Linked DNA regions of Tamandua tetradactyla. The main gene of each other region encodes a partner of the protein of the gene in region 2 in a complex. Links are inferred from orthologs where the notes say so. Each region holds a gene or a part of one and is shown on either strand. Other genes may lie near its edges.

Region 1 (7,840 bases), on a different chromosome or scaffold from region 2:
CTGACAATCCCACTACTAGGTATATACCCAGAAGAACTGAAAGCAGAATGCAAACAGACATTTGCACACTGATGTTCATAGCAGCATTATTCACAATTGCCAAAAGATGGAAACAACCCAAATGCACATCAACTAATGAATGGATAAACAACTGTGGTATATACATACAATGGGATATTATTCAGCAGTAAATAAGAATGAAGTCCTGAAGTACATGACATAGATGAACCTGGAAAACATTACGTTCAGTGAAGTAAGTCAGACACAAAAGTACAAATATTGTACGATATAAACTAATTATATGTGAACTCATAGAGATAAAATCTAGAATATAGGTTGCCAGGATATAGAATGAGGGTAAAGAATGGGGAGCAGACGCTTAAAGTGTGCAGAACTTTTAACTATGTTGAATTTAAATGTTTGGAAATGAATGGAAGTGATTGTAGCACATTATAGTAAGTGTAATTAACAGTTAACAGCACTAAATTTTGCATGTGATTGCGGATGAAAGGGTAAGTTTAGAATTGTGTATGTCACTAGAAGGAAAGCTGGAGGATAAAACATGGGACTGTATAATACAGTGAACCCTGTGGTGAACAATGACTGTGATTAATAGTATAAATATAAAAATGTTCTTTCATGAACTAGAACAAATGTACATACATCACTATTACAAGGAGATAATAATATAGTTGTATATGGGGAGAAATGGACCTACTGCAAACTATGGACAGTATAGATAACAGGAATATTTTAACATCCTTTCATGAACAGTAACAAATGTAACAAATCAAAGCTAGGGGTCAGTAATTGGGGGGATAAGAGGTATGAGATGTTTTGGGGTTTTTTGTTTTGCAGTAATGAAAATGTTCTAAAATTGTGATGATAAATGCACAATTACGTTATGGATGATACTGTGAGATACTGATTGAATACTATGGATGAATTGTATTCAATCACAGTAATGAAAATGTTCTAAAATTGTGGTGATAAATGCACAATTGTGTTATGGATGATACTGTGAGATACTGATTGAATACTATGGATGAATTGCATTCAATCACAGTAATGAAAACGTTCTAAAATTGTGGTGATAAATGCACAATTGTGTTATGGATGATACTGTGAGATACTGATTGAATACTATGGTGTGAATATATCTCAATAAAACTGCAAAAAATTAAAAATAAATGAGAAAGAGTTTGAACAGATCTTCTTTTTCAGTAAGATAGATTAAAAATTCAGGTAAACCAAGGAGAAGGCTGTCGAAATTCCAAATTCTTACCATCATAAAAATAAAGTAATCCAAATGGAACAAAGGTCTCTGCGAAGAACTATGCAAGCATCATTCTGGGATGCTCTGAGGTAGAGAGCCCTTTTTTATGAATACATAAAACCACATATAATTAGATTAAATAACAGCAGAGATGGAACACATACTAGTTAGGTAAGCTCTATTTTAGGTAAGGAATTGAGATATGAGAATCAATTTGGGTGGTTTTTAAAAAAAGAACAAAAAGATATACTGATCCTACAATTTCAAGAGCATTTGGGAACTGCTCATATTTGACCCAGCATAAATAAACCAGATATTTATAAATCTGTGTGTAGCCTCATCTGTCAAAACTCATAGTAAAGGAAACTGAACTGGGAGATGGACAGCCTTTTAGGGGTTGGCCTACAGTATCAGTAGTAGGGGCAGATGTATACCAGAATCCATCATTTCTTATGCTTAATAGTCAAAGAAGTTCCTTTGCTGCAAAGATGAGGGATAGAAAAAGTAATGGATGGATATGTTCTTATGCGCCGAATTAAAACACATTTCTTCACTTAAAAACCTCAATTATAAGTTGAGGTTAGGATTGTTATTATCTACAATTTAAAACTAAACAGAATAGACAAGTCCAAGAATATTGTTCTTACAGGGACTCACAGAATGATAATTCAGAATGATAATCTGCTTAGTACAGACAGGTTCAGAAGCTTGTAACCGTCCATAATAAAACCATTGCCAAATATAACTTACATTCTTTAGAAAAAAGTCTCTTTCTTTTACCCTGTCCACCTTCTGCACCTCCTCCAATTTCTTCATTTTCTTCCTCAAACTAGAAGTTAAATATATATATACATATAAATGTCATACGATTGCATTGCATTTGAGTTTTTAATGATTAACTTTTTTTTTTCATTTTCAACACTAACATCAGGTCAGAAAGCTTAAGGCAAACAACAATAAATTATGAAATCTTAACATTGAAAGGGCCTTAAAGATTATTTAGTTCAACTTCAGACTCTTTAGTTACTTTTTTTTTTAAATCAAGTTGGCCTATTTATAGACTGCTACCGGTAAAAGAGTTGGTAGTATTAAATCAAAACTACCTCCCTGTAGTAAGAAACAGTAATACTTACTAAACACTTATTTGTGTAGTGCTACGAGCTTTCCTCAAGTAAACTTTAATCCCATTTACAAGGAAACAGAAGTTCAAAGTTAAATAACTTGCTCAAAAAACAGATTTTGAAGTTCAAGTTCCCTGACTTTTAGTCCATTATTTTTCCATTAATTTGAAGTAAGTATATCAGCTTTGTCAGAAGTTGAACTGTTGATTCATAATGAGCGCTAACAATTATTAGCCTTCAACTCTTGAGAATTCTCTAGGCGTTTCAAAGACTGTCTGGCAGATATGAACCAAAACCAAAGGAAAAGGAGGCATCTCCCTACTCTTCACGTCCTATTCCGCGTACTAAAACGACTCCAAAGGGAGAGACAAGCACGGCGAGAGGTCACCGAACTCTCTTGGAAATTCACTAAGGAAAACAAACCCGATTCTGAATTCAGCTTCAAAAGCCGCCGCTACGGAGCCCGAAAAGAGAAAAGAGAAGGGAGAGCTGGGACAGAAGCGGTCACTCACCGTGGGGTCCTCTTCCTCATCTGCCATCCTACCATCCAGCAAACCTATGTTTTTCCGCGTCTTACTACTTCCGCTTCCTCACTTCCTGTGACGCAAAGTCTGGGAGGGCCAGAGGGCGGGTCCTAGCCGGTCACAGCCGGTCGGCCTGCGGAGCTTGCAGGCCCGTGTGGCTGCTGAATGAAGGGCTTATCTGCAGGAGGGGCGCCTCGTTGTCCCCGTGATACTGAAGAAAGAATTAAACTGTAGCAAAGAAGAGGAAGGGGGAAGGGGAAGGGAGGGGTAGCCAGCGGTCCTTCGACCGATTGAAGGGTATATTTAAACAATTTCAGCACTTGACGATCCCCCTATTAACAGTTATTGACAATATTTTACTTTGCTGCTAGTTCTCGAGAGGCAGTAACGACCTCAAGACCGAGAGGATTAAACATTTTGTAGGAAAGTTTTCTGGTGAAATAATGATTGGATGAACTATGGTCATTTGAGGGCCGGAGCTAGGAATTTATGGTGCCCTGCAAGGCAAGAGATGATGCCGCACAACGGAAAAACTGTTCCTTGATATATGCAATTTCTGAATAGCCTGATAAACATTCATGTGAATGAAAAAATTGTTTATAATTATCTGAGCCTAGAACTAAGTTTGTTAACATATAAATACAAAGCATTTTCCTGCACTTCAGTGTGTATTGAATTTTCTAGGAATAAAACTATCCTGAATTGGTGGGATTTTGTACTTGGTTTTATTTGGAATTTACAAAGTTACGGACCTTTTAAGACATGTCACCAAAGGCAACATCACTTATGTATTAGGATTTGTTGCCAGACAAAGGCCATGGATTCTTTTTCCCCGACACACTCGATAACCAATGCCTGAGAAAACAGAGTTTCAGAGAGAAAGAGTTTATTACTAGGGGCAAAGTAGGAGAGCAGATGGCCTAGCAAAATCGGTCTCCCCAAACTGCAGTCAGTCTGGTAGTTTTAACACAGAAAAGGATGGGCAGCATTTAGGATGAGCACAGTGGCCCCAGATAATGAAATTAGAGGTAATCTGATTTTCAGCACGTGCAGATTGATCACATGCTTAGTCACAGAATGTATGAAAGAAAGCGATGGAATGAGGAATAGGTGATTTACAGGTTAAAGACTAAGCTAGGGTGCATGTCCAGCAGGCCCGCTTTGATTAGATCCGGTCTTGGTCATCAAAATAACTTTATATTTGGAGTGGGTTAGTTCTGGGCTGACCCAGGACCCTTCATTAATAAACCTTAGGGGATATCTTTAGTGATTACAAAACTCTAAAGTTGGAAAACTGGGTACAAATGAAGGTTAGTCACAAGGTTTTAACAATCACAGGGGCGGAAGATAAGGGCTATACAACCATTATCAGAGATCAAGGCAGCTAGACTGCAATTTAGAGATTTCAGGAGTTTCCTTCTGGCTACTCCAATATGCCAGAAAGCAAAAAAGAATATCTATATAATGATTCTGTAATCAAAATCATCCCTTAAAATCCTAATTTCTTGGTTATAGATTCTCTATGGAAACAGAACTGACAGGAGATATCTGCAAATCTTATAAAATTTTATAAAAGTGTCTCATGGAACTGTAGGAATGCATGAGTCCATATTCTATAGGGCAGGCTGCATGCCAGGAACTCCATTGAAGATTTTCAATGAATTCCCCAGGAGAAGCTGGCTGGCTGAAGTGGAGATGAAAATTCTCTCCTCTGACTGCTGAAATCATCACTTATCCTTTTAAAGCCTTCAACTCATTGGATGAGTCGTCTCTCATTGCTAAAGCCAGTTGTAACCAAGAATTTAGGATTTAAGAAATGATTATGGTTACTGAATTATTATATAGATATTTATTTTTACTTTCTAGTGTGTTAGAATAACTGTAAGGAAATACCTGAGATTGCTGAACTATAATCTAATTGTCTTGATCTTTGATAATGATTATATAATTATATAGCCTTTATTTTGTACCCTTATGATTGATTGTAAAAAACTTGTTACTGATCCTCACTAAATCACTAAAGATAGTCCATAATGTTTATTAATTAAGGGCTTGGAGTCAGCCCAGAACTAACTCACCCCAATTCCAAAAGGATCTTCTTTCTTTTCCTTTCTTTTCTTGTGCATGGGCCAGGAATCAAACCTGGTTCTCCCACAAAAAACTGGTGAGCATTCTACCACTGAACAACTCCAAAACTGTAAACGAGGCTAGATCTAATTAAAAACAACTTACTAGACGTGCACAGTAGTTTAAACTTTTACCTATAAGTGACCTATACTTCATTATACTACTAAAAACCAGCCCCATCATCATATTAAGGCTTCCGTTTTCTTACATACATTCTGTGACTAAGCATGAAGTCAACCTGCACATGCTCAGTGATTAGATTATCTCTAACCTCATTATCTAGAGCCATTGTGCTCATTATCCTAAAACCTGCCCATCTTTTGATACTATAAAACTATCAGACTTACTGCAGTCCAGGGAGACAGATTTTCAGGCTGATAGGCCATCTGATCTCCTAGACTTCAAACCTAGCAATAAACTTTTTCTCTCTTTGAAACCCTGGTATCTCATGAATTGGTCGCTTGAGTGCACTAGGCAGAGAACCCACTGCTTTTGTCTAGTATCACAATCTCTTCAGTTGACTGTAGATATGATCAGCCATAATGTAATCCACTTATTGATGATTTAAGTCCACAAAATGCCCTCACAGTAACAGGCCAGTGCTTGTTAGACCAAACAACTGGGCTCCATTACCTGGCCAAGTTGACTCATGAACCTAACCATCACAACTTGTAATAATTTGAGTAGCCAATACTCACCTGAATAAAAAACAAAAAAAATAAATAAAAACAACACAATACTCACCTGAATCAGTCTGCATTTATAACTCTTTCATTCAAGTTGATACAACATAACAGTGCAAGCATTTGAAAACTTCATTGCAAACCCTAGTGTACTTGTGCCTAAGCATTTTATTACAATTTACTGTCTTAATTTTACCTTTATATTATACTTAGGAAATGATGTATTATTTTTAAATGATGTGGGTATGCAGGTATATTATTTATTGCTGTGTAACAAATTATCCCCAAACCTAATAGCTTAAAACAATTAGCATCACATCATTTCTGCGGGTTAGGAATCTGAGTGTGGTTTAGTTGGTTGCCTCTGGCTCAAGGTCTCTCATGTTGCATTCAGAGCATTGACTGGGGCTGCAGTCCCATTTAAGGGTCGAAGGAGGAAGATTCACGTCCAAAATCATTCATATTGTTGTCAGCAGGATTCAGTTCCTAGTGGCTATAGGCTCTCAGTTCTCACTAACTGTAGGAGTAGGCCTGCCTCAGTTCCTTGCCGTGGAGTCCTCTCCGTAGGGCAGCTCACAACATGGCGGCTGGCTTCCCTCAGGGAAGATAAGTGAGAGTCTTGGAGAACATCCATGACACAGCCACAATCTTTTTTGTAACCTAATCTTGAAATTGACATCCCATCACTTCTCTCTATTCTGTTCACTGGAAGAAAGTCAACCAGTCCAGCCCACACTCAAGGAGAGAAGATCTCTTAAGAACACCAGGAAAATGGGGTCACTGAGGACTATTTTAGAGGCTGTCTACTACAATAGGTTATGTTGTCTGTGAATTTCAACATAATAAAGGAGCCATTATAATATATTTGTTATTTAAGGAAGATTTTTGAGTCTGATAAGATTGAGAACCACTGTGTTAGACAATGATGAAATATTGGCCTCGTCCAGAAGGTGGGGTGTAAAACATTCATGGTGTCCATCGTCAGGAGAGTGGATAGGTAAAACGTGCTGGATGTACATAAAGGAGTACTATGCAGTAATCAGAAGCAACAGACCACCTGAATAGAGCTTTTTTTAGAACTAAGTGGAAAAATTATAAACTGAGACCTATAATACAATATCATTTATGTAGATTAAAAATACATGCATGCAAAGCAATACATATTTTACAGGAGCATAAAACAAAAAGCATAAATATTAAACACATTAGAGTGGTAGGAGTAGGAGGAATGGAAATAGGAACAAAAGAATAAATAAAGAACAAGGGCTTTGGAAGGGCCAATTATAATAGTATGTCATGTGGAATGCAAATAATTCAACCTTCTGAACCCAAGATCCAAAATATAAAGCCGGGGAGGGGGAATCGGGGACCCCTGCAGTGTGATGAGCAGAGCAGGAATAAAGCACAGAGCAGGAAGAGTCATGGTGTGTTTTGACAAGATATTCAGGGTGAGTTGCCCAGTTTGTTGGGCAGCGATGCAGGAAGTGAGCCTGGGGTAATATTGTGAAAGGCCTGGAATGTTCTCTTCAGAGACTGAATTTCAAACTGCAGAGAACTCCTGGGTGATTTTCAAGCAGAGGAGTCACATAAACCTATCTTTAAGAAAAAAAAAAAAAAGATCACTTTAGCAGAAAGGCCAGATAAGATGAAAGATGATGAGAACCTGAATTAAGGCAATGGAGAAAAGAAGAAGGAAATGATTCAAGAGAAACTTAAGGAGGTTGACTTAATAGGTCTTTCTGATTCAATGATTCTGAGACATATGCATGAGAGGTTTATATCCAGGTGGATGGTATGCCATTAACATAAGTAGGAAAGTAAAAGGGGAAAGCAATTGGGAAAGGAAAGGAATAAGTTTAATCTGAGTCTGAGAGTCCAGATATGCCCAATAAACTCATGGAAGTGCAGACCTGGAAATCCATGGGGAATCATGAGCAGAGAAAATCATATGGGAGACATCAACATAAAGATGATGGTTGAAAGACTATATGGGGACAATGATGAGAAAGAAGGGAGGCAAAGGGCAAACGCATAGAAGCATGTACATCAGGGAGACAAAAAGAAAAGACAGACAGAATGGCCCAAGAGGTAAGAAAAAATGAAAGAAGG
Region 2 (7,514 bases):
GCTATAATGTGTGCTCGACAGTGAGGTGAGCAGTGAGCTGAGGGATTATTTGAAACTTTGGGCCCAGCTGATTTTTTTTTTTTTAAGTTTAATAGCGTTATAGAAAATTTGGCACCTGTGAAATTATATAGTGTGTCCTCGGTGAAATTAATATGAAGTAGTCCAAGTATCTATCCTGCCTAATTTATCAGCATCGTCCTGCCCCCATCCATTGTCCCCTTCTTGTTCAATTTGCCGGCACGCAGACCTCCTGGAAGCAGATAGTGTGAATAGGTCGTAGAGGATATCCGCTCCGGCCTCTTGCAATGGTATAAAAACTAAGACCTAAAGAGGCAAAGTAACTGTCCCAAGGCCCTTAGCCTTGCAGCCACTGCTGACCTCTGGAGGTAGCAGAGATAAAGGGGAAAGCCTTCCATACTGTCACTTCCCGTATCTGCCAGTTAAAGGGCTGGGTGGCAGGCAGAGGGCTTGTCTGTTGAGGCAGGTCTTCTACCTGCTCCTCCCATCTTCTCCCCATGTGAGAAGCTATGCCATGCAGCACCACCAGGAATACTGCCTGGGACCAGATGGAAGACTACAGCTACAGGCTCTGGACTGGGGTCACTCACACACAAACACACCCTCTTAAAGCTGTGGAGGCAGGGAGAGTTCAGATGTCAGAGGATTCTTCCCCATGACCCCTGTCCCTCCTGAGGGCTCAAAGGCAAGCTTCAAAGGTCCTCTGGGTCATGCTTGGGGTGGCCTGGCATATTATTCATCTCTTCCTCCTCCTGCTCCTCTTCTTCCCCTTCTGTCTTTTCTTGCCCATCTGTGATCTCCTTCTCCTTCCCTGTCCAGGCTTCCTGTAGACATGCTAGATTGAGTGAGAGAAGGCAATTTAGATAGATATAGGGAGTAGGGGCGGTTTTGGGTAAGTAGGAAAGGGGCCAGTCCACACATTTACCCGTTTCTGCAGCTGGGAGCACATGGTCTTCACAGAGAAAGTGCTGTAGAGGCTGCTCCTGGTGGTGGAAGTACCAGTCTCCCACGACATCTTCAAACTCCTCCAGCATAGTCTCACACTGACCAAGAGGAAGAAAGAACCAGAAAGGTGTCCGCTGTGCTGGGGTTTGAAAACCCTCTTCTCTGCTCTCTACTCCTTGTCTCCCCTACCTGAGCTGATTGACCTTGGAGGCAGCCTGGAGGGTAAGCCTGGTTTGCTAGATGTGTGATCCTCCTTCATTCAAACATTTACTAGTACCTACTCTGTGCCAAGTAGGTTACCTATTAAACTTTGGGTCTCAGTTTCTTGCCTGTAAAATGGTTATAGTACCCACCACATTGGGTGTCTTGTGGTTCTGACTCAGGCACATGCCATGTGCTCAATAAGCAGTAGTGGTTATTAGTAGTCTCTGTTACCGCTTCTTGACAGGCTTCAGGGCCAACATCAATTGATGGCATAGTCTTCACTCTTGCCACTTCTTCCCCCTTCTCTCTGGGCAGAGGTGGACATCCCCTCCAGTCAATCCTAGGACCTAGCTTCCCTCTCAGGTTCCCTTGCAGTGTAGTATCCCATCATACCTGCTTCTTAAGGAACGTGACCTCCACGCTGGGCTCGTCCCACAGCTCCAGAGGGATCCCCAGATCCACCTTCACCCCTTTCTGCACCAGGCCTTTGAGGGTTGCCATGGTCTGACTCTGACCCTGGGAGATGAGGAATTTGGTATTAGCCCAGCCCACTGCCTGCTTTTCCCTTCCCCTTCCCTACCACATCAGTGATGTCATCTACTGGAGATTCAGGGCTACATTCCATGAGGGTGAGATGTGGAAGGCTGATGAGGGGAAGGTATATTCTGGAGCTGGGGGAGGTTGGGCAGACATCTCCCCAGGACTTCTGGGAATATAGGTCACTGTTTCTGAAAAGTGGCATTCCCATCACGGCTGCCCCATAAAGGGTCTGACCTTGGCATATCTCAGGGAGCCCTTGCGGTCAGCATGAACGCTGTAATCCAGGATCTGCTCACATAAATTCTCCAAGGCCTCTTCTAGCCTCGTCTCCCTGTGGGAAGAGGGGAAACAAAGACTTCCTAGATGCTGTAGGAGTTCCCAGCGCTCTTTCAGGGCTTGGATGGTGGAGAAGCACCAAGAAAGACTCACGAAACGCTGTAAGGAACATGTCTTTTCCTCTTGCCTGTGTCCAGCACCTGTCCCAACTCCAGTACCTCTCGAGACTGGCCAGTTCGACTCAGGTTCTCCTGTAGCTCCAGGCTCAGCAGCTTACAGACTGGTGGAGGAAAGAGAGGTCCAAGGGGTCATGAACGACAAATACATACAAGCAACTCAATCAGCAAATGACCAAAGGCAGCACAGTGCAGACTCTGGAACCAGACTGGTGGGAATCCTGGTTCCCACTTCGCAGCTGTGTGAAAATCTCACTGTGCTTCCATTTCTTCATCTCTAAAATAGAGATAATACAAGTACCTCTTTTATAGTGATGTGGTGAGGATTATATAACTGCTGTTATTCTGCAGTTACTTATTGAGCTCCTTCTGTATGCACACTAGCAATAGAGCAGTAAGACCCACAATACCTATCCAAGTGATGTTGCCCAGGTAGTTGTGGAAAGACAGACGAACAGATGATGGCACCCTACACTAAGGGTTCAGACCAAGACTCTCATTAGTAAATACAAAATTCCTTCAATGGTCATTTACTGACCTCTTATTAGACTGCAGTGTGCTTAAGGGTGAAGTCTGCTCCACCACTGTCTTTTCAGCACCTATCACGTTACCTGGCACATGGTGGGTCCCAAGAAAGGGAATGGCCTAGACAGAAGTGACAAGTAAATGATACACTGGGGCAAATGACAAAAATGTCCAAAATGTACTAGGCACCATGCTAGGACCTGGGGAAACAAAACCATCCCCCACTGTCTCAAGGAGCTAGTGGGAGATGACAGATGAAGAAGAAGGCTTCCAGGGGAGGTGACATTTAAACTGGGTCTTAAAGAATAGATAGGAGCTTGCCAGATTCAGATGAGAGGGTCACTCCAGGCACGGGGAAGAGTAAAATGCAGAGGCACAGAGGTACAAGAGGATGAGGCAGGTTCAGTGACCAGTATGGCTGATGCATGTGGCACTTTAGCGATGGGGGGGGGGGGAGGATGGAAAGGTAAAAAAGGTTGGGAGCAAACAGCAAAGAGATTTATATGCTATGCTAGAAACTAGCTGTTTCTGATCATAGTAAGAGGCCTGTGGCGATGCCAAAGCAAGGACTGAGTCAATTAGGACTATGTTTAGAAAGACTGATGGAAAAGTGGGGGGAGAAGCACACGAAGGGGAGGGGTCAGAAGTAAATGAGAAAAAAGCTGAGGATCAAGGCCTGAGGGACACTGATATTTAATTGATATTTAAATGCAGTGGGGGTATGAGAAAAGGGATCCCAGGAAGAAATGAAAGCCAGGAAGACACTCAATTCTCCAGCACTGGAGTGTGCCGGCCCAGCGTGGTCCAAACTGATGCAGCCACAGAAGCTGCTGCTTGCTGTAAAAGCCATACAATACATGCCCTCGGCAAAGCACACACTGTTGGAGAACTTCTCAGCAGTGAAGCATCCTCCTACCTTGTTTATGAGCTTCAAGGGCAGAGTTCCTACCCTCCAAACTCCCTCAGGGGTGGGCATGGGCCTGTAATTTAGGAGCGTCTCTGCCGGGGTGAGGTAGAAGATGTCCACAAAGTATCAGCCTCACACACCTTGCTCTGCAAGATCTGAGTTCTCCAGACTTAGATCCGATGACATGGGGGAAACACACACACAAACTGAATATGCTCAGTAGAGTGGGCAGTCCCAGGCAGAAAGTTCCTGAACTACAATTCCCACAAACTATCGGAGCCCATGGCAGCCGGATAAGGGGTCTCCTTCCGGTTGTCTCGTGAGAATTGGAGTGCCACAGTTTGAGGGCAGCACTTTGCGATCCCTTCCTTGACCCCATTCGAATTTTGCCAAATTCCACGAGACCCTCCCTCTGAATTTCAAGGAGACCCATCACGGTCCATTTGGTCGTGTCAGTTCTTGGTTTAACACCTCTGCAGGCCTTTTACCGTGATCAGAAATCAGATGTCGATTTTAGTGGAGCCTACAAGCCTCTCTGCCCTAACCTTTCTAACCTTTCCATTCTCACTCCCTCAACCCAAACGTGTCCCCAGCAGGGGCAGGCGGGGCAGGGGGCTACGGAAAGGGGCTGATGACTTTAGATACCTTCGCATTTGCTGGGCAAGCGTTCTGTGTCCTCATCCTCCTCCTTCGGCGTCCCAGCCCAAGCCCCGAACACGGTCAAAATGAAAAGCAACGTTCCCAACAGCACAGGTCCCATGACTAAGTGCGGTCCGCAAATCACCATCTCCCTACCCTCAAACCAACTCCGGCAGGGTAGCGGGCCCTTTAAATTCAGAGGTGGTGGGCGGCAACCTGAAATCCAGCCTGGCACCGGAAGCGCGTGCGCCGTGCCAATCCCATAGGGGCGGGACCTCAGCCTCCTTCTCCGCCCCAGGTTTGTCGCGCCAGCTGAAGGTCCTGGCCGCCGAGCAGTGAAGAAGTCAATTGAAGTAACTGAGAAAGGAGAGCGTGCTTCTTACATATGGATATGGAAGCATTATTTTTTAAAATATTATTTAAGGCTTTGAGCCTAGGGAACTTATTCCGGCTCTGGAAAAGGGTCGTGCATTGCTCTCCATCTCTGCCAGGTCCTGCTCCTCAGAGGGGGCGGGCCTAACATGGCGCCGGACGCCGGATGAGCGGCGCTGTGACACTGGTGAGAGACAATTCCTGCGCTGGGCGCTTGGCTAACGGGGGTGGGTCTGAGTGCTATCGGGAGAGTATCAGGAAGAGGACAGTTGGTGATGTGTCCGTGCGCGTGGGGACTCCGGTGCGTGCGTTTGCATTGGAGGGATGCTGCGAGCGAGAGTTCGCTGAGCCTTCATTAGCGCGATTCCCATTGCCTGGGCAGCTTCTCTCGGCTTCTCTGTTGAAAAAATTCCTGCACCAATCACCTTGAAGACCTTCCCCTCTCTTGGGAAGCTTTCCAACTGTCTCTACCGGCCTGAGAGACCCCCAAAGCTGTAACATGTCTTATAAGCCTTTATTAGATACCTGCTGTCTACGGGTCCCAGTGCGGGAGTAGCAAGAAGACATAACGTAAATAGTCACCCTCCAGTGGGATGAACTCTGGAAAGGACTGTGTCCTGGGGACACAGGTGGAGGAATGCTTAGTTCTGTAGGGAAATGGGGAGGCTTTACCTAGGGGGCAGAGAGTACTGCTGGATGTCGAAGGATTAGTAGGAGTTTGGCAGGGAATTGGCACAGGACGGCATCAGGTATCCCTGCCGCCGGCACAGTGCATGTGTTGAATAGATGTGTTCCTTCTTACAAGTGAGAAAGGACCCCGGGGATGGTTTGAGAAGAAGCAGATTCACCTGCGGCTTCCATCTTCCCCGCCCTCCACAGCATGCCCCTTTTCTCTCCTTCCCAGGACAGTCGGACCTGAACACTGTTATCTTCCTAAAGCACATCTCCAAGCATGCCCCCTTACTTTTGACCACAGAATAGATTCCAAGCTTCGGCCTACGTCTTATTCATCTTAGTGATAGCAATAAGGGATATTTATTGAACAGACATGGTATATACAAATAGCTCTAAGCCTTACAATTCATTTATTCAGAGATTATCTAAATGTTTCTCTCCCCTCCGGCACTGTTCTAGGCTCTTGGAATACATCAGTGAACATAATAAAATCCCTGTTCTCATGGAGCTTTCATGGTGGGGACCATGGTGGTGATAAACAATAATAATGATACAATATATTAGAAGATTTTAGATTCTATGGGGGAAAAAAAGGTCAGTAGAGCAGAATGAGGGTGGGGTACAGTATTAAATATGGTGGTCAGGAAGGACAGCCAAGCAGACATCTGGAGAAGAGCATTCCAGGCAGAAAGAACAGCAAGAGCTTTAAATAGCCAGAACATACCTGGCAGTTTCAGAGAACTGTAAGGACAACAGTGTGGCTGGCTCAGGATAAAAGAAGGAAGGTGTCTTAGTTTCCTAGCTGCTAAAACAAACACCATATAATGAGTTGGCTGAACAGCAGGAATTTATTGGCTGATGGTTTCAGAAGCTAAAAGGCATACACCCTCCCCTGGTAGGTTGCTTCTAGCTGGCCAGCATTCTTTGGGATTCCTTGGCTTTTCTGTCACATGGCAGTGCACATGGTGGTGGTGTCTTCTTTCTCATCCCCGTGCCACTGACTTACAGCCTCTGGCTGTTTCTCGTGGCTTTTCCTTCTGTGTTCAGTTTCCTTTGCTTATAAGGATTTCAGCCATATTAGATTGGTCATACCTTAACTAATATCCTTAAAGGTCCTATTTGCAAATGGGTTCACACCAGGTCAGGGGTCAGGACCTGAAAATGCCTTTTGTGGGGCACATGATTCAATCCCCAACATGGGGGAAAGCAGGTCAGAAATGTAATGGGGAGGGGACAAACCTTCAAGGGCCTTGTAGACTATTAGAAGTGTTTCGGATCTTTCTCTAAGGTAAATGGAGAGCCGTGGCAGGGTTTTGAGCAGAAAAATGACATAATTACATTATTATGTCATAATAATGTTATTTATTTACATTTTATTATTTATATTTTAACAATCCCTTTGGCGGCTATGTTAGGAATGAATGTAGGGAGGCAAAGGTAGAAGCAGGGAGACCTTGTTAGGCTGCTGATGCTATCCAAGGGTGGGAGTGAAGGAACCAGTTTGGATTATCTGGGGGATTCAAAGTGAGGGATCAGATAAAGAAAAGTTGGCATTGCTTAAAAATGAGGAAAGTTGAGGCTGGAACAGGTAGATAGGGAGATGAACAGTTCAGTTTTAAGCGTGATTTTGAGCGGCAGTTGGATATTCAAGTCTGAAATTAGGGAGAGCCATCTAGGCTGGGGATATAAATTTGGCCATCACCAGCCTTTAAAAAATACTTCCTTGTAGGAGTAGTTGAGATGACTAAGGGAGACAACACAGCTAGAGAAGACAACCAAGGATTGAGCCCAGGACACTCCAACATTAAGCAGGTAGGGAAAAGAGGAAAAACAGTAAGAGAAACGGAGGATATGGCCAGAGAGGTAGGAGGAAAACCAGGAGAAGGTGAAGCAGCTGAATAAAGGAAGTGTTTCAGGAGGAGAAGGTGGTCACTCATGTTAAATACTGCTGAGAGGTCAAGTAAGATGACAAGGAGAGGATCTTTTGGCAATGTCCAGTCACTGGTGACCTTAATGAGCAGTTTTAGGAGCATAAATGGGGGCAAAAGCCCACTTGGAGTAGGTTTAAAGAGGAAAGAAGAGGAATTTGAAACAGAGAGTTAAGAGAACTCTTTGAAGGAGTTCTGTTACAAGAAACAACAACAACAAAGCAGGGTATAGCTGGTGCAGAAAGTAGGTTCAAGAAAAGATTTTGTATTTTTTTTAAGATGTCTAGCAGGCTTATGGGTCCATCGGAT
Region 3 (6,771 bases), on a different chromosome or scaffold from region 2:
TTCTTACTGATCTCAGAAGGCATCAAAAAAGCAATAGTGTCTGGCAAACAGAGTAACAACAGCAAAGTCTTGCAGTATAGCTGTGATTATGAACATTAAACTGTTCAATCCTACAACTTTCCTAAAATCATTTTTCTACCTATACAAGCCTACTTCCTAGAAGAGAAACACCTAGCAAACTGGTTCTGAGAAACAAACAGGATAAACTCAACAGAAGACAGAAGAGGGAAAAGGAACTACTACAAGGTCATAATATCCAATTCTAGGTGTTTCTTTTTGGCTGACCTGTCTGAGGAATAAAATTAAGTATCAGGGCGGGCCGCGGTGGCTCAGCGGGCAAAGTGCTTGCCTGCTATGCCGGAGGACCTCGGTTCGATTCCCGGCCCCAGCCCATGTAACAAAAACGGAGAAACAGAATACAATAAAACAAGAAAATGTTTAAAAATGTTTCCCTTTCTTCCTTCCTTCCTTCCTTCTATCCTTCCTTCCTTCTCTCTGTCTTTCCTTTAAAAAAAAAAAAAAAAAAAAAAAAAAAAAAAATTAAGTATCAAAGGTTTTCTCACTTCTCTAGGAGTGATTCTAGCTCTTCTTGCAAAGAGCTAAGCTGCTCCTTTTCTCGGTCTTCCTTCTGTTTGAGTTCATCCAACACAGCCTGAAATCTGTTCTTGAGCGCCAAGTTTTCCACCTTCATGATGAGATCCTCCTGTCGTTTTGCCCTGTCCTGGGTCTCTTGGAGCTTGCCCTTCACGTTATCAATCTGCTTCTGAATCCCCATAACCAGCTGATTGGTTCCCTCGTTTTCTTGGTGCTGTTCATCTGATTCATTTAGCTTGTCATGCAGCTGTCTCTCCAGATCCTCCTCCGTATCGATGATGTTTATATCTTCTTCATCCGGATGATGCGTCTCATCTTCATCTTCGCTGCTGCTGCTGAGGTCATTAAATATCTCCCGAAGCTCATCGTGTTCTAATGAGTCATGGCCCTGCCTATGGCCAGACATTCCCGGAGAGGAGATATCAAGGCCCTGATTTTCTGCCTCTTTGGTTTCATCTTCTGCAATGATTTCCCAACGAGTACTGACTGCTTCTGCATCTGTACTCAGCAAACGCTTCACTTCCTTTTCCACATCTGGAGATTCAATGTACTTCTTCTTTGCTGTCTTACGGAACCGTCTCTTTCTGACATTTTTTAGAGGCAGAGTAATTCCATGGTTCCAGATAAACTTCTTCTCTTTGTCCTTATCCTTTTTCTTGCTTGCTTTTGGATCAGCAGCGGCAACTGGCTCTTCCACTGGAGGGTAGAGGTCACCATCCACTGTTGACACAAGCATCTGACAGATATCAGCTGTCTTGTAAAAGGTTTTTTTATCAATGGTTTTCAAGCTTTCCATAACGCAGGGCAGATCTACCAACTTTGAAGCCAGTGGGACCCGGTCCACTCTGACAATTCCATGGCGCCCATCAGGATGTAACTCAATTGTCAGTCTGTCTTTCAAGTTGACATGGCCAGACTGTACTGCCCTCCTCACAGTAGAGGCATATTCCGGAGGTAGGCGTAGAATAAACTGGCTCTCTAGCTCATGAGGAGCATCATCTTTGCTCTTACTCATCTTTACTTCCTTGTGACACTTCTCCTCTAAAACTTGTTTCACTAACAAGTTCCAAGTTACTTTCTGCAATAATTAGAAAAGCCACTGTTACAAACTGAAATTCTTCATTACAAAGTTTAAAACACAACAGCAGCTAAGCATCTATTTTTACTTAATTATGAATTAAGTCCCAGGCCTTTTCTCTAAATATGACGCGACTGAGAACCAGTCGTTACTGACAAACACTGGCTTTTTCGCAGTTGTGATCATTTAAATCTATTAGCTGCAATGCCAAGTTTCAACCTCTAGGTGCCGCTGCCGGACAATGCAAACAGCTAGCAAGCAGCAAAGCAAATGGCGGTTCCGGCGAAATTATTTTCGGCCCAGAAAGTAATGCCCAACAGACATTCCCAATCCACAAACTCTCCCGGAACAAAGATATTTTAAAAAGCGAGGCGCAGTGAGCTTTCTTCGCCTCCGGTACTTACAATCCACTGAAGATTACAAGTTCGGCTTCTCCAGACCGGTGCGAGCGGAAGAGGACTCGGCCCGAAGCACGGCAGCCAGGGGCCCAGAGTCTCCTTTTCGATGCCTCTGTTCTTCTCAGCGGTTGGCACAAAGATCCGCTACCAATTACGAGTGAAAGGACCAGGGCTATCAACGCGAAATGTCGCCGAGATTCGCAGCTCAGTATACCGCAGCGCTCAGTCCGGAGCTGCAGACCTAGAGAACAAAGAAGCGCTACGTCACTGCGCGGGGCGGGAGGCGGCTTGAGCGACACGACCCCCTGCCCGGAAATGAGAGCCGCCCGGCGCGCGCATGCGCGTTTGCGCAGCTGGGCGTGAAAGGCCAATTTTTGCGACAACGTAGACCGTAAACCCCGTAAGAAGTAAAATATTTCATACAGAGCTTTTGGTTTGAGAACGCACGGAAATAACAGTTCGGATTAAGAGACAGACTTCCCCTACCCCCCACCTCTAGCTACCCTGCTAAGCCAGGACTTTTATCGGATCTCCATGGAGCCGGATAGCCTCTAGGCTTCCGGATGATTACCGGAGATAAGGGCGTTAGTGTGCAAAGTGTCACTGCTTCAAGGAATATGATGCTCCCCAAAGTGTGTCTGGGAGCCAATACAAGAATTTATAACTGTTCTGGTTTGCTAGCTGCCGGAATGCAATATGCTAGAACGGAATGGCTTTTTTTTTTTTTTTATTAATTAAAAAAAGAATTAACAAAACAATTAGAAATCATTCCAATCTACATGTACAATCAGTAATTCTTAATAACATCACATAGTTGCATATTCATCATTTCTTAGTACATTTGCATCGATTTAGAAAAAGAAATAAAAAGACAACAGAATAAGAATTAAAACAATAATAGAAAGAAAAAAAAACAAAAACAAAAAACCTATACCTCACATGCAGCTTCATTCAGTGTTTTAACATAATTGCATTACAACTGGGTAGTATTGTGCTGTCCATTTCTGAGTTTTTATATCCAGTCCCGTTGTACAGTCTGTATCCCTTCATCTCCAATTATCCCTTCTCTTTTTTTTTTTTTAATTAACGGAAAAAAAGAAATTAACCCAACATTTAGAGATCATACCATTCTACACATGCAATCATTAATTCTTAACATCATCACATAGATGCATGATCATCATTTCTTAGTACATTTGCATTGGTTTAGAAGAACTAGCAACATAACCGAAAAAGATATAGAATGTTAATATAGAGAAAAAAATAAAAGTAATAATAGTAAAATCAAAACAAAACAAAACAAAACAAAAACCTATAGCTCAGATGCAGCTTCATTCAGTGTTTTTTTTTTTTTTTTTTTTTTTTTTTTTGATTTTTCCTTGTTTTTTTTTTTTTTTTTTTTTTTATACCTCAGTAAATTTTTTTTTTATTAATTAAAAAAAGAATTAACAAAACAATTAGAAATCATTCCAATCTACATGTACAATCAGTAATTCTTAATAACATCACATAGTTGCATATTCATCATTTCTTAGTACATTTGCATCGATTTAGAAAAAGAAATAAAAAGACAACAGAATAAGAATTGAAACAATAATAGGAAGAAAAAAAAACAAAAAAAACAAAAACAAAAAACCTATACCTCCATGCAGCCTCATTCAGTGTTTTAACATAATTGCATTACAATTGGGTAGTATTGTGCTGTCCATTTCTGAGTTTTTATATCAAGTCCCGTTGTACAGTCTGTATCCCTTCATCTCCAATTATCCCTTCTCTTTTTTTTTTTTTAATTAACGGAAAAAAAGAAATTAACCCAACATTTAGAGATCATACCATTCTACACATGCAATCATTAATTCTTAACATCATCACATAGATGCATGATCATCATTTCTTAGTACATTTGCATTGGTTTAGAAGAACTAGCAACATAACCGAAAAAGATATAGAATGTTAATATAGAGAAAAAAATAAAAGTAATAATAGTAAAATCAAAACAAAACAAAACAAAACAAGACAAAAACCTATAGCTCAGATGCAGCTTCATTCAGTGTTTTAACATGATTACTTTACAATTAGGTATTATTGTGCTGTCCATTTTTGAGTTTTTGTATCTAGTCCTGTTGCACAGTCTGTATCCCTTCAGCTTCAATTACCCATTGTCTTACCCTGTTTCTAACTCCTGCTGAACTCTGTTACCAATGACATATTTCAAGTTTATTCTCGAATGTCCGTTCACATCAGTGGGACCATACAGTATTTGTCCTTTAGTTTTTGGCTGGATTCACTCAGCATAATATTCTCTAGGTCCATCCATGTTATTACATGGTTCATAAGTTTATCTTGTCTTAAAGCTGCATAATATTCCATCGTATGTATATACCACAGTTTGTTTAGCCACTCTTCTGTTGATGGAGATTTTGGCTGTTTCCATCTCTTTGCAATTGTAAATAATGCTGCTATAAACATTGGTGTGCAAATGTCCGTTTGTGTCTTTGCCCTTAAGTCCTTTGAGTAGATACCTAGCAATGGTATTGCTGGGTCCGGAATGGCTTTTAAGAAGGGGAATTTAATAACTTGCTAGCTTACAGTTCTAAGGCTGTGAAATTGTCGAAATTAAAACAAGTCTATAGAAGGGTCCAATCTAAGCATCCAGGGAAAGATACCTTCGTTGGAGAAGGCTGATGACGTTCAGCGCGTTTCTTTCTCAGCTGAAAGGGCACATGGCAAACACGGCAGCGTCTGCTAGCTTTCTCTCCAGGACTTTTGCTTCATGAAGCTCCTGGGGAGGAGTGTTCCTTCATCTCCAAAGGTCCCTGGCTGGTGGACTCTGTGGTTCTCTCGTCCTTGTGTCTGACTCTGCGCTCCTCTCCTCGTTCTCAAAAAAGGGAACTCTCTCTGAAATGTCTCTTCTTTTATACGATTCCAGTAAACTAATCAAGTCCCATGTAGGATGGGTGGAGACACCTCTTCATCTAATCAAGTTTAATCACCACAATTGGGTGAATCACATCTCTGTGGAAATAAACTAATCAAATTTCCAACCTAGAGATTAGAAGAAAACATTTCTCTCACAAGAGTGATTAGGATTAAAACATGGCTTTTCTAGGGTACATAATCCTTTCAAACCAACACACATGCTGAATTTTTTTCACTATGGCACTACTGTTTTGCTGGCTATTTTCTGTTTGTTTCACGTATGGGTTGTCTGGTGTGCATCAACACCTATTTATATTGTTGCCAAGTAATAGATAAGGGTTTCCACTTATTCCTACTCATTTCCATTTTTTTCAAATAGGATCAGTTTGGTAGAGCATCAAAGTCGTTTAGAATCTAATTGCTATCCTCTCAAATATTAACAATTACACATGAATTTAAGAGAATATCTTGTCTGATTAATATTCCCAAAATTGCTTTATTTATGCACTTGTTAATTGTTTTCCTCACCCCAGATTGAAAGCTCCGTGATGGTCAGGGAGCATTTCTATTTTATTCATCATGTGCCTACTACCACAACATAGGAGAAACACAAGAAAAGTTTGCTAATTGGATGGAAAATTGATCTATGTAGAAAGAACACAAATATAGGCTAACTCCTGTCATAATTTATGAGAGAGAATACTTTCTCTGTCACCTTAAAATGAGATAGAGTCACTTCATCTATGTCTCTAATACATAGATAATAATTTCTTCTCTAGTTGAGGGTAGTGCCAATTGTTATGGGGCAGGGGAGATTAATCATAGTGTATGTGAATGTGTCCTCTTGGTTTTAGGTAGATTGTGATATTGTATTATAGGAAGAAATTAAAATGACCTAGGATTAATTTAGTTTTATGTTAATCTTTAAGAAGAAAGTATGCCCTTCCAGAAGGGCATCCTTCTCTTTGTATTGAAGGATGCTATTTGATTCATTTATTATTTCCATGATGATCTATTTTCTGTCTGTTGAAGAGGAAATTTTTTCAATGTGCTTGTTCCTCAATTATACCTGATTTTACTTATTTTACAGATAGAAGAGTAAACATTCTAGCCTCTGCAATTATATATATATATATATTTATATATAAAATATAAATAATGCTTATGAATGAAAATAATCTAAATATTATTTTATGTTTTAATTCCCCAAGTTTGGGGATATTCAAATGCCCTTGTCACAGAAAGTAGCCTGAGATTAATTCTATTAAATACTGATTTGCTCAAATTATGATGTATTTTCGTTAGTAAACCTTAAACTGGAAGACAGTTTGAATTAACCAAAGGGATTAACTGAGGTTTCCCTGAGGCATCTAACTCATTTAATCCTGAAACATATTATTGGCTTTTGAGTTTAGCATGTGTTCTAAAGGCTATTAAATGGGGTGGGGAGGGATTATACTGACCTTGAAGTTAAGATCTCTGCCATATCACCATCACCTTAGTATCTATTAAGAAATCCAGGTTCGTTCGTTTTTTCAAATCCATTAAACATACAGAAAAACACAGACTCTGAGCCGATCAATTACCCCCCTGTACTTGTTTATGGAATATCTGTGATACCAGTGAACCAAATATTTAGGGAAGGCAATAAATTTTCCAGAGTGGTAACAAGTCCTTCAAAGACTTCCTACCTATAATAAGGGAAGACAATAATTAGGCTACTGCTAATACTGTATTCTTGAAAGTTTCCTGTAGTAAACTTTCACTTTCCTTAAAGGGCTG

What was found.
Region 1: TAF6 (region 2) and TAF13 share a complex: the UniProt entries of both Homo sapiens proteins name them as parts of the TFIID basal transcription factor complex. The link is inferred for Tamandua tetradactyla from reciprocal best matches to the Homo sapiens genes TAF6 and TAF13.
Region 3: TAF6 (region 2) and TAF7 share a complex: the UniProt entries of both Homo sapiens proteins name them as parts of the TFIID basal transcription factor complex. The link is inferred for Tamandua tetradactyla from reciprocal best matches to the Homo sapiens genes TAF6 and TAF7.

What each region holds. Positions count from the first base shown.
Region 1 is NC_135337.1:13,851,456-13,859,295, reverse strand, and holds the start of TAF13 (transcription initiation factor TFIID subunit 13), read right to left. Parts: upstream 3,023-7,840; 5' UTR 2,937-3,022; coding exon 2,910-2,936; intron 2,106-2,909; coding exon 2,027-2,105; intron 1-2,026. UniProt on the Homo sapiens protein: The TFIID basal transcription factor complex plays a major role in the initiation of RNA polymerase II (Pol II)-dependent transcription.
Region 2 is NC_135349.1:8,261,441-8,268,954, reverse strand, and holds the start of TAF6 (transcription initiation factor TFIID subunit 6), read left to right. Parts: upstream 1-4,512; 5' UTR 4,513-4,789; intron 4,790-7,514. Other genes in the region: CNPY4 (protein canopy homolog 4), read right to left, coding at 711-853, 944-1,061, 1,561-1,683, 1,942-2,038, 2,137-2,263, 4,237-4,378. UniProt on the Homo sapiens protein: The TFIID basal transcription factor complex plays a major role in the initiation of RNA polymerase II (Pol II)-dependent transcription.
Region 3 is NC_135346.1:21,439,125-21,445,895, forward strand, and holds TAF7 (transcription initiation factor TFIID subunit 7), read right to left. Parts: upstream 2,393-6,771; 5' UTR 2,077-2,392; intron 1,673-2,076; 5' UTR 1,610-1,672; coding exon 560-1,609; 3' UTR 537-559; downstream 1-536. UniProt on the Homo sapiens protein: The TFIID basal transcription factor complex plays a major role in the initiation of RNA polymerase II (Pol II)-dependent transcription.